Canis lupus familiaris: one gene and its partners. The protein of the gene in region 3 interacts with the protein of the main gene of each other region in a pairwise test. Links are inferred from orthologs where the notes say so. Each region holds a gene or a part of one and is shown on either strand. Other genes may lie near its edges.

Evidence for each region.
Region 1: the proteins of RIN1 (region 3) and RRAS2 interact in binary tests that used the Homo sapiens proteins (3 or more experiments, as listed by UniProt). The link is inferred for Canis lupus familiaris from reciprocal best matches to the Homo sapiens genes RIN1 and RRAS2.
Region 2: the proteins of RIN1 (region 3) and LZTS2 interact in binary tests that used the Homo sapiens proteins (3 or more experiments, as listed by UniProt). The two-hybrid records come from large-scale screens. The link is inferred for Canis lupus familiaris from reciprocal best matches to the Homo sapiens genes RIN1 and LZTS2.

What each region holds. Positions count from the first base shown.
Region 1 is NC_049242.1:37,646,638-37,650,175, forward strand, and holds part of RRAS2 (ras-related protein R-Ras2), read right to left. Parts: intron 1,495-3,538; coding exon 1,376-1,494; intron 1-1,375. UniProt on the Homo sapiens protein: GTP-binding protein with GTPase activity, involved in the regulation of MAPK signaling pathway and thereby controlling multiple cellular processes. Regulates craniofacial development.
Region 2 is NC_049249.1:13,868,913-13,872,942, forward strand, and holds the start of LZTS2 (leucine zipper putative tumor suppressor 2), read left to right. Parts: upstream 1-1,209; 5' UTR 1,210-1,366; intron 1,367-1,795; exon of another isoform or gene 1,796-2,317; intron 2,318-3,413; coding exon of another isoform or gene 3,414-4,030. Other genes in the region: proline-rich protein HaeIII subfamily 1-like, read right to left, coding at 3,414-4,030. UniProt on the Homo sapiens protein: Negative regulator of katanin-mediated microtubule severing and release from the centrosome. Required for central spindle formation and the completion of cytokinesis.
Region 3 is NC_049239.1:51,476,896-51,481,040, forward strand, and holds the start of RIN1 (ras and Rab interactor 1), read left to right. Parts: upstream 1-1,344; 5' UTR 1,345-1,852; coding exon 1,853-1,938; intron 1,939-2,080; coding exon 2,081-2,261; intron 2,262-2,366; coding exon 2,367-2,481; intron 2,482-2,576; coding exon 2,577-2,649; intron 2,650-2,793; coding exon 2,794-2,885; intron 2,886-3,041; coding exon 3,042-3,779; intron 3,780-3,993; coding exon 3,994-4,145. Other genes in the region: BRMS1 (breast cancer metastasis-suppressor 1), read left to right, coding at 304-311. UniProt on the Homo sapiens protein: Ras effector protein, which may serve as an inhibitory modulator of neuronal plasticity in aversive memory formation. Can affect Ras signaling at different levels. First, by competing with RAF1 protein for binding to activated Ras.

The DNA of each region.
Region 1 (3,538 bases), on a different chromosome or scaffold from region 3:
TTAACATCTTAACCATTTTAAGCATACAGTTCAGTAGTATTAAATATATTCGCAATGTGGTACAACCATCCACCTCCAGAACTCTTTTCATCTTGTAAAACTGAAACTCTGTATTCATTTAAAAATGGAACTCAGTACTTTTAACAAACTACTAAGAAATAAAAAAACTATAATCCTTACTTTTCTTTCCCCACAAGAGAATGCCCAGGCAAGGGGCTAAAAAAGCACAGGAAGCCCATAGCTCAGATGTTGATTCGTCTTAGATACATAATTAACACCAGCCCTATCCACATACCTGTCAGACAGAGAGACCAGCAGATCTAGAAAAGCCCAGGGTCAAGTAGAGGCCAAGCCACCAAGACTAAAAATAATCAAATCAAACCCCTCCCACTATATAAAGCAACTCAATCTTTCTCACACAGAAACTAACTCCAGGTAACCTCACCCATCACCTCAAGCTTCCTGGAACCATTAACACTTTCTGAACCGCCAGGGCCTTCTAGACCAACAAGCAGAAAAACCCTTTGTTATCTGAGCTATCATACTTCACCCCTTGAATGGGAGGTCCAACTCTCTACTACCTCAGCCTGCGAGGAGATGGGTAAGAAGCGAAGCTGAAGAGCACAGGCTGTAGAATCAGAGATATGATTTGAGTCCCACACCTTTGGGCCATTTAAAGCCAAAACTCTGAGCAAGTTAACTCACCTTTGCGTACCTTCTTTCTTATCCAAAAGTGGAGATAAATGATAGTATTTAGCTTTTGGACTGTGGTGAGAATTCAATGTAATATGGCATGTGAAGTACTAGGTACAGTATCTGGCAGAAATTTCCATTCATATGTTAGCTACTGCCATCCCTATCTTCATGCCACTTGACATCTTTGAAAGCAGGATAGTTTCTTCTCAAAATCCCTATGTGTACTTTTTACTTCAATATAATTAAATTCAGCTTTATACGTAGGAAGTACGTAGTATACAGTGTGTCTTAATTAAAAATTTTAATACACATCATGGGCATTAACTCCTAGCACAGAAGCACTTCTACATATAGTCTCCTCTCTTATTAAAAATATTCAATGGTAATTTCTTTCTCAGCTAACAGTTTTAAAAAGCATAGTGTGACTACCTGTCAAATTCAATAAATTAGAACAAACTTCTTTTCATTTTGCGAAAGACTTTATTTGAGAGAGAGAGAGAGAGAGAGAGAGAGCGCGCGCGCATGCAGAGAGGGAGAAGCAGACACCCTGCTGGGCAGGGAGCCAGACCCAGGGCTCAATCCCAGGACCCTGAGATCATGACCTGAGCTGAAGGCAGAAGCTTAACCAACTGAGCCACCAAGCACCCCAAAACAAATTGCTAAGATCTGTTTCACTTACCTTATAACCCGGACAAGTTCGTGGAAAGCTTGATCTACATTCATCCTAATCTTGGCTGACGCCTCCATGTATGTTACCTTAAGTTGTCGTGCTAACTGCTGTCCTTCTTCCTGCGTTACCTGAAATTCCAAGAGTTGTATTTGAGGTACAGAATTAAAAATCAGGTCTGCTCCATCTAATCCTTGGCCACAGACTGTGCTGCTAATCCAGCCACGGGCCAAGCTGCTTTGTCATAAAATGAACTGAGACTTACAAGCTCAATCCATACCGAAGCCCAGCTCCGCAGAACAACTCAGAATATATTTGTGACAAAAATATTACCATGCAACACAATTTCAGTCTGGTGAGTACTCAAAAAGTAGCAAATACAACAGTGATAAATTCTGGGAAGGAAAAGTACAAGGTGTTAGTAGACTCTATAACCCTGTTGGACAGATCAGGGAAAGCTCCCCTGAGGAATGACACTTAAAGTAAGAACTAAATAAAGAGTATGGAGTTATGTGGGGGTAGGGTAAGAAAGTATCCCTGACAAAAGAAATGGCATGTGTGAGAGCCACTTTCCAAGTTCCAGGAACTAAAAGCTTAAATACAACCAGCCTAGAGAGAAAACAACAAAGAGGTGAGGACAGAGAGGACAGAAGCCTCCAGAGGCCATGGGTCTTCCTCATCTCTGCATTCCCCAATCCCTGGTACAGAGGAGACTCACAATAAATACATGAGAAAAATGAGTAATGATTACGATCACAATGCCTTCCTTATACTAGCAGGTAAAGCGCGGCCGAGGTAACAACCTACCATAGTAGGACAGGATAAGAAACATAAGATGAATGTAATGTCCCATACGTTTTCAGTATAAAAGGCTGAAGTCATGACATTTACCTAAAACTGCTAAACTACATCACATTTATATAGCGTGGCTGAAAACTATTTTTCTAAAAAAAAAAAAAAAAAAAGACTTTTATTGCTGTCATTACCACAAAAGTAAACACTTGCAGAGAAGTCAGAAACTGCAGATTGGAAGAGGGGTGTACATTTAAATGTGGTCTCCCGTAGAGAACCACATTCTTCTGGTCTTTTTCTCAGTGATGTAACCTTTTCCTCTACAAAAATAGGATCAAGATTTTTCTGTATTTATGTTATACCCTGGGAATATGTTAAACTCACTGATCTGGGTGTTCTTTTGTAAATTCCATAGGCCTTCCTACACTATCATGTCATTTGCTACTAAAGACTGTTTTGTTGCTTCCTTTCTGATGCCTCTCATTTCTTTTTCAGGCCGGACCTCACAGCCTAGCACATTCAGGGCCGTGCCAGCAGCATATAGTCCTTCACCATGAAGCACACTGTTAGTTGCAGGGTTTCACTGCAGATGCCCTTTATCATGTTAACAAAGTTCCTGCTAGTCCATCTGTAAAGTTTTCAACAGTATGTTAAATTTTCTCAAATCCTTTTTTTCTTCATCTACTGAGATTGTGATTTTCCCACATTAGTCTGTTAATAACGGTGAACTCTGTTGATTCATTTTTGCCTGTTAAATCAACACTGCATTTCTGGAATAAACCCCACTTGAGTAACAATGCACTGTCCTTCTCTTCGGTGTACTGTTAAATTCTATTTGTTCAAGTTTTAAGAATTTTTACATCTGTGTTCACAAGAACTACTCAACTATAGTATTTTTATATATCTGTCTGGCTTTGGTATCTGAGTAATGTTGGGTTCATATAAGGAGTTGGAAAGAGTCCTCTCGTCTTCAATTTTCTGGAATACTTTCAGCACAATCAGTTTGGTATAATTCGCCAACAAATCCACCTGGACCTGGGATTGTTCTTTGAGGGAAGATTTTTACAACCAGTTGAATTTTACAGATACAGCACTATTCGGGTTGTCTATTTATTTCTTGAGTTTTGGTAGTTTGTGAGTCTTTTAAGACATATGTCTATTTCATCTAACTTGCTCAATTTATTGGTATAAAGTTTCTTTATAGTATAGTATTTTGTTATACGGTATTTATTATCTTTTCAATATCTGTAAGATCTGGAGTGATGGTTTCTCTTCCATTACTAATATTGTTGATTTGTGTCTTTGCTCTTTTTTACCGGGTCATTCTGGCTAGATTTGTCACTTTGATCTTCTGAAAACCAGATTTTTCTATGGATTTTATAT
Region 2 (4,030 bases), on a different chromosome or scaffold from region 3:
ACTGGAAGGCCTGGTGTGTTCTCAGAAAATCCTTTAGCTATTTCCATTAGGGGACTTTTGTGAGGTCTCTGTGAATTGGGGATAGAAGGATAGATACGCACTTGCCTGTCTTGCTCCACCCTCCTAGCAGACATCCCCCCCCCACACACACACACACAAAGCACAAATCCGAATGATGGGAGAGGGGAAATTGACACTCCCCCAACCCCACCCCGTACACACACATTCCATTGCACACCTGTCTTAAACTCACATCAAGATTAGCCAAAAGTATGTCTAGAAGTCCCTGGAGCCTAGAAAGCAGTAGGGGATCCCTGGGTCCGGAATAAGGTCCCTGGTAGCCACTGTCCCTGTACCCAACCAGAGTGGATTGAGGCAAATTACCCGGGCTCTTTTTCCAATCGGATATTAATCACCCTGAGAGTTTAGGAAGGGCCTGGCCCAGCTGGGTCCAGCTGGATCTTCAGCCGTGTCTTCAGATTTAGTGTCGTTTTTTCAGCTTTCCAGTCGCTTCTTTACTGCAGGTGAGTTGGAGAAGAGATTAAATTCACTGGACTCCTCCTGTGCAGATACTCTTGCTGCAAGTAAGGCTCAGATACCTGTAGATGACAGTCTGTGCCTTCCCACAGGCTGCCTCGGGTGCCACAGATGGAGCCCTAGGTGCCTTCCTGCAATACAGGGCAACTTCCTGTTTGTGCCTGTGGGTGGAACTTTATGAGTGTAAGGGAAGCCTGGCCATGCTCTGTGGGGGGCCAGAACTGGCAAGTATGCTCACCTGGGTAGGCACCTACTGCGGGGAGGGGGGAAGGGGCTGGCTCTGCTAGGGCAATTCCGACCAGAGGGTGGGGCGGGGTCTGTTTTAGTGAAACCCGAGCCTTCTTTGTCTGCTTCCTAGGGGTTTTCCTTGTTCCTGGGGAATGAGCTGAGAGCCGACCCGGTTTGGCTCCTTACAGGGTAGGGCAGGTGGCAGTAAAGTCCTATCGTCAACTTGGTTAGGCCGGCCAGGTAGTTTAGCTCCCGGTCACGTGCTGTTCGCCCCTTTCCCCAAGTCGAAAACCAAATCCAGAAAGCTGTGAAGTCGGAGGCCAGAGGGGCAACCTGGCCACCACCGAGCTACTGCTGGGCTGGGTACCGGGTCCGCCGTAGAGGGGGTGCTGGGCAGACCACTCCCCTCCCTGGGTCGGGGGCGCGGCCTCAGCCGCCCCGCCCCGCCCCGTTCCACCAGGCCGGGCCCGGCGGGCGCCGGGAGTCCGGAGCCCGGAGCTGGCTGGGAGCCGGCAGATCTGCGGCGGAGAGGTGCCGGCGCTCGGGCAGGAGCTGGGCGGGAGCGGCAGCGGCAGCGGCAGCGGCGGCGCAGGTGGCCTGGGTGAGTGGTGGGGCCGCGGAGGTGTGGGCACTCCGGCCTCCCGCACATGCCGGGTCGGGAGCGAACTTTCCCGGTCTGGGGAAGCTAGGGGGTGGAGTGAGGAGAGGGTCCCACACTGGGGTCCGGGGGGCCCGCAGGCGAGGAGCCTGAACAGGGAACCGACACGGAAACTCACGCCAGTGGGTGCACACGCGCGCGCGCCGAGACCCACGCACATAGGACACACGTGCACTCAGGAGAGGACGCGCCCAGTGGGTTACCCTTGCAGTCCCTGGAGCGGCGCCACTGGCCCGCACGGAGCCCCAGCTGACAGGGTGCTCTGCTGTCCCGTACTTGGCAGGGGTGGGAGAAGGGGCTGCCCGGTGACCGCCGACGGGGGCGGGCCGGGTGGGACACCTCCGGAGGTTCCTGCTTCCTGGCCGCCCACAGGTGAAGACTAAGACGTAAACAGGCGCCGAGCACGTGATCGCTTCGCAGACGAGTGGGCTGTGCTTCCCTCGCCCCCGCATCAGGGCGAGGACCTCCCTCCCCAACCCTGGGCGAGTCTCCGAGGTCTCCTGTCGGGCCGTATTCCATTCTCCGCCTCAAGAAATGTTAAGCCTTCCCCCTGAAATGGGAGCACAACGCCCCCTGGAGTCCGGGTAGCGCAGGCCTGGAGACTCTTGGGCTCGGTGGGGTTACCTGGGCTCCTTGCCTTCCTTCACCCGAACGAACACGTTCGTGGGGCCCTCATCCCGGAAGGTATCGGAGGAGGGCGCTATTTCGGGTGGCAGTATACGGCAGCTCCGGCCCCATACCTCCAGTCTGGGGAGCAGCTGCCTGAGAGCCGGTGGGTCCCTTTCCTACCACCACCCCTCCTTGCAGAACTGGGAGCTCCTCCCTTCAACTGTAGGAGCCGAAAACCCACTCGTGCGAGAGTGGGAGTCCTCCTTTCCCAGAGAATGCATAAAGGTAAATGTCCTCGAAGTACGGGAGTGGGCCTATCCCCCTCCCCTAGAAGGGAGGATGAGCCCCCTCCCCCAGGGAATGAGGGAGTGGGCAGCGGCCCTCGCCTCCCTCTCTGCCCCACCCTCCACCCCTACACACACGCTGAGCCCAGCTGCTGCCTGAGCTTCCGGGCTGGCTGCCAGAAAGGGGAGGAGGCTCCTGGTGCCCCAAGAGGCTGGGATCAGGGCAAGGCCAGAGGAGGGGGTCTCTACTGGGGAGGGGGGCTCAGTCTATTCTTATGTGGCTCAGGGTCTGGGGTGAGCCTGAGGGTGGTTGGGCTATGCCTCCCTTTCCAGGGAAAAAGAAAGAAAAACAACCCTTTCCATAGAGCTAAAAATAGAGCTGAGAGCTGGCCAGGGCTGTGGCCTGGAAGGGGGGGATGCTCCTTCCTGGGGCAGAGGAGCTCTGGCAGGCCTTGGCCTTGGGGGTGGGGATGCAAGTAGGGGGTGGGAGGCCTGTCCTTGGCTGGGGGTGTGGGCATCAGCTGACCTGACCAGAGACCCCTCAGGGGGGAAAAAAGTCTTTGTGGTAAAAAATGCTCGTGAAACACCATGGGTATGTGTAAGTTGTCTGACTGAATGAGACCACCAATGTGTTAAAGATGTTTAGGAGAGGAAGCCCATTTAAGATTGTGACTCGGTAGGAAGGACTCTGAGTCCTTGTGAAAGATTGTGCACAAGGTGTGTGACACCCAGTGTGTCTGTGTGTAAGTTGGCCTGAAAGATTATGGAAGGAAGGAACCTGGAATCACGTGATGGAGGAGACTGTGATTGTGGCTGCGTGGGACCGAATGTGGGAAAAGTCGTGTGGGTGTTAGGAAGATTGTGTTGTTTGCGAGAGGGTGAGACTCTCTGTGACCCTGAGAAGACCGAGGGATGTTGTCAGCTGTGGGACTGGTGTAGGTTCTGACTGTAGGTTTGGACCGCCTCACCCCAGTGATTGTCAGGGGGCCAGGGGCTGCCTCTCTCCCAGCAGTGACCTCTCTTAGCAAATGATTCTCAGGGAAGGTTGGGGAGCAGACGGCCGCGCGCGAGGCAGGCCTGGGCTCGCGGGGGGCAGGCTACAGTGCTGGGCAGTCCGGTAGGGGCCCCCAAAGTTGCTGGGGTGGCGGTGTATCCTGCGAACGCGCCGCCTGGTGGCGCCGCCTCCGCAAATCCGAATCTGCCTCCCTCCACCGCTGGGGGTGGGGCAGGCACGGCCCGAGCCCGGGTCCGCGACCCGGCCCTGGGGAGCAGGGGCCCGGCGGCCGGGGCGGGTGGGGGGGCCGGCCCTCCGCGCCCCGCTCGGGACTCCGAAGCCGGAGTGTGTCTTGCGGGGGAGGCTTCGACCGGAGGAGCGGAGGGGGAAGGGCGGCCGCCGTGGCGCCGGGCCCTTTGTGCTGGAACAATGACCAGCTGCCGCTGGCCCCGGGGCCCGGGTAGGGGTGGAGGGTGACCCGCCGCCGCCGCCGAGTCCCCGAGCCCACCGGGCGTGGGGGGTCCCGAGGCCCGCGGCGCGGCCCCGCGTGACGCGGGGTGCTGCGCGTGTCCGCGCCGGGGCGGGGACGCCCCTCGGACCCCTCCCCCGCGCTGCGCCGCCCACTCGGGCCGGACGGGGGCCGGTCGGGCCGGGGGCGCCGCGGAGGCGGGGCCGGGCCGGGCCGGGCCGGGCGCCTCCGAGTGGCCGCGCGCGGGCCGG
Region 3 (4,145 bases):
GGTTATGTCAGCTCTGTGGCCCCAGTTAGAATGGTTTGGGTTTGAGGGCACTTTGGGGGTTTGGGGAAACGGAGCCGGGGTGGGGCTAGGGGATGAAGCTCCCTGCAACCAGGACTAGTCAGGGAGGGCTGGAATGCTAGGCCCCAGCAGCGGGGTGGCCCTGGTGAGCCCAGGGGTGAGGGCTGTAGAGCTGCCCTGGGCCAGACCAAGGCTGTTCCTCTCAGCACCCCATAGGCACTGGTGTTCCCCTCTTGGTTCAGCTTCTTACTTGCGGTGCTTTTTCCCCTTCTGGTGTCCCTCTAGGACCATGACCCTGCTCTTCAGAGCCAAGGGCCCCCTTGGAGCAGCTGGCAGCAAACCCAGGATTTGCGTTTTCCTGCTGTAGGAAGGCAGATTGACAAGCCCCTCGGGGTCTGTCCGGCCAGCTTCCCAGTGCTGCTGCATGGCCTTCCCCTCCAGCTATCACTGGTCTGGACTCCTCTGCCCTCCTCGGGGCCTGCACACTGTGTGGCCCAGAGCTGCCTTAACCAGACAAGACTGTCTTCCCTGTCCCCAGTGAGCCCACCCCCCCACCCCCACGAGATCAGCCTTCTCCTCACCATCCCAGACAAAGAAGATGTGGCTCCTCTTAAGCCAAAGCAACATTCTTCCTGCTGACCTTGGACTAGTCACTGAGCTAGTGAGCTGGGCCCCACTTCCTGGGAACTTTGAACCAGAAATTATATTTTGGGGGGGCCTGTCTCTCCTGGCCGTTGTTGGAGATGAGAAGGCAGGCTCCCCAGGTCTTCTCAAGGAGGTTCTTGATGTCTCCCAGATTTCAGGGACTGGAATTAAAACCTTCCCTGGGACCCTAGCATGACCTGTGTGTGTCTGATTTACTTTGCGAGGGAATCAGGGCTCCCCTGGGGAGTGCCTGAGTCAGGTGGGCTCTCCTGGAGTCCCTGGTACCTCCTCTCTCTACCTGGCAGGAGCCCACCTACTCTGAGTTGGGGTATGGGGGGGGCCCTCCCAGCACACCTCCCAGAGGTGGGGGAGTGAGCAAAGTCTGAAGCAACATGTGGCACAGGCCGATCATGTGTCGGGGGTGGGGAGGGTTGTGTGCTCTGTGCTTGGAGCCTGGGTCATGTCTGCACCTGCCCCAGTCACTTGGCAGATTGGTAAGGCAGGCTGGCGGGGCCTGGGAGTGTAGGAGGCAGCTGGCAGCAGCACCATGTGCTGACGACCTCACAACCAAACTCCCCCACCCCCATCCCATTTAGCGCCAAGTGTTAGAACCACCCCCAGAACCTCAGTTAAGCAAAGGGGTTAGTTTCCAAGGAGACACAGCATCCTTTCTCCATGGCAACCGAAAATCCAAAACCCAAGTTAGGCTCGAGAATGAGTCATCTGTGACCAGTAGGGGGTGCCCTCCCACTGGGCTGACGGGGGGCGGGGAGGGCACACAAATGAGCAGTTGACCACAAACTTAATTAAAGGTGCCCCATGGGCAAACTTGGGCCTGTGGGACCCAGATGGGCCCAGCTTAACCCCTTCCCGCCTGCTCGTGTGCCTCGAGGAGGCTGGCGAGGCTTCAGGATGCGCTGTGTGGAGGTGGCAGCCCCACAGCCGGGGCTCGTGGAGTGGCACTGCACGGAGAGGACCCTTGCTCCCTGAGGCTGGGCCTGAACACGGAGGAAGCGGGCACTGCCCGGGCTAAGGGGACACACAAGAGTTAACTGGCGGGGCGTGACAGGGCGAACCGCCCTCAGGAAGTGTTACTCACTGCTGGGAATGTGAGCGCTCTTGCCTTGGGGGCTGGATTCTCTTCCTGAGTCCTGGGAGAAACCGGGAGAAACCAAAGGAGCTCCCAGCCATGGAAACCCCTGGGGAGCCAGGGGCTGGACCTCTTGGAGCCCCCAGCCTCTCCAACTTCACACCTGGGCACCCGGAGAGAGAAAAGTTAGTGAAGTTGGAAGGGCAGCCCCGTGGGACAGGGAGGGATGGCAGAGCAGGGTCTGTCCCAGGGCAGAGGTGGGGGGAAAGGGTTGGGCAAGGGTCCCACCCCCTGGGCCCCTGCTCAGATCTGGTGCCCGCCCTTTAGGCCAGCCCAGGACCCACTGTATGACGTGCCCGGGGCCGGTGGGTGGCAGACAGTTGGGCCCCAGCGGCCCGGGCGCACCGTGAGCCTGCGGGAGCGCTTGCTGCTCACGCGGCCCGTGTGGCTGCAGCTGCGGGCCAGCGCGGCGGCTGCTCTGCATGTGCTGAGGACCGAGCCCCCGGGGGTGAGTCTGGCCCCTGATCCTGGGACTAGCCGACGGAGGCGGGGCGGCGGGGGGGGGGAAGGCTGGACACCGAGGTCCCGAGCCTCCGACCCCTGTCCCTTGCAGATGTTCCTTGTGCGGAAATCTAACACTCGCGGGTGCCAGGCCCTGTGCGTGCGGCTGCCCGAGGCCAGTGGCCCCTCCTTTGTCTCTAGCCACTACATCCAGGAGAGCCCTGGGGGTGAGCAGGACTGGCCTGGGGGGAAGGGGCTGGAAGCAGTCCGGGCCGGGCACAGGGGTGTTTTCTGGAGAACAACCGCACTTCCCGTCCCTCAGGCGTCTCCTTGGAGGGCTCAGAACTCATGTTCCCAGACCTGGTCCAGCTCATCTGCGCCTACTGCCATACCCGGTAAGCCTGGCTGCAGGGTGCCTGGTGTCCGTTGGTCCCAGGTCCCTGGGACATCCTGTCCTCCCAACCTCTGCAGGTTCTGTCAGCCCCCAGTGCCCTGAGCATCCCTCACCCCTGGCTTTCTGTTTCTCTCTCTGGCCTCAGAGACATCCTCCTCCTCCCACTGCAGCTCCCCAGAGCCATCTGCCAGGCAGCCACCCACAAGGAACTGGAAGCCATCTCCCATCTGGGCATTGGTAAGGGCTCTTCTGCTACCCATTGCACAGATGGACAAGCCGAGGCCAAGAAGGAAAGGAAGGCACGTGGATGCAAGGCCTGAGTCAGTGCCTTTCCCTCATTTGGGCACAACTCCCCAAACCTCCCCGAGGCCCCAATTGGTTTCTCTTCCCTAGAGTTCTGGAGCTCCTCCCTCAACACCAGGGCTCAGCAGGGCCCATCTGAAGACCAGCTGCTGCCCCGGCTGAAGCCCCGGCCCCCACAAGAGCTGGACCAGGGTACGGGAGCCGCCCTGTGCTTCTTCAATCCCCTGTTCCCAGGGGACCTGGGCCCCACCAAGCGGGAGAAATTCAAGAGGAGCTTCAAAGTGCGTGTGTCCACGGAGACCTCTAGCCCTCTGTCTCCACCCGCTGTGCCACCTCCCCCGGTCCCCATTCTGCCAGGTGCAGCCCCCAGCGAGACAGACAGGTTACCCCCTCGCCAGCTTCTGCGAAGGGAGAGCTCAGTGGGGTACTGTGTGCCAGGGGGCGCCAGCCCCAGCCTCCCACCCCTACCCTCCCTCCGGGAGGTAGACTGCGGCTCCCCCAGCAGCTCGGAAGAGGAGGGGGCGCCCAGGGCCCACGGAAGCCCAGCAACCTCACCCCGCCTGGGCCACCGGAGGCCCCTGCTGCGGTCCATGAGCGCGGCCTTCTGCTCCCTGCTGGCGCCTGAGCGGCAGGTGGGCCGGGTGGCCACAGCTCTGATGCAGGACCGACAGACGGCTGTGGGCCAGCTGGTGCAGGACCTCCTGACCCAGGTGCGGGCTGGCCCTGAGCCCCGGGAGCTGCAGGATGTCCGAGAGGCGCTGAGCCGGGCTCGGGCCATGCTGAGCACAGAGCTGGGCCCTGAGAAGCTGCTGCCGCCCGAGAGACTGGGTGAGACCCTGGCCCCGGGCTCCACGGGCTCAGCCCCAGAGTCTGTAATTCCAGCTCTTCGCGCTCCCCACCTCTCTCCCACTATTCTCCCGTCTCACCCAGAGATTCCTCCTCCTTTTCATCTCTCTCCCCCTCTGGCTGCACCCCCCTCCCGGGGACGCTGGCCCCCACTTGCGCCCTGCTCCCCTTGACCCTGCCCGCCTCTCCTCCTCAGAGCACATCTTGGAGAAGTCGCTGCACCGCTCCGTGCTCAAACCTCTCCGGCCCATCCTGGCCTCCCGCCTGCGCCACCGGCTTTCTGCCAATGGCTCCCTGGGCCGCCTGGCTGAAGGCCTCCGCCTGGCCCGGGCCCAGGGCCCTGGAGCC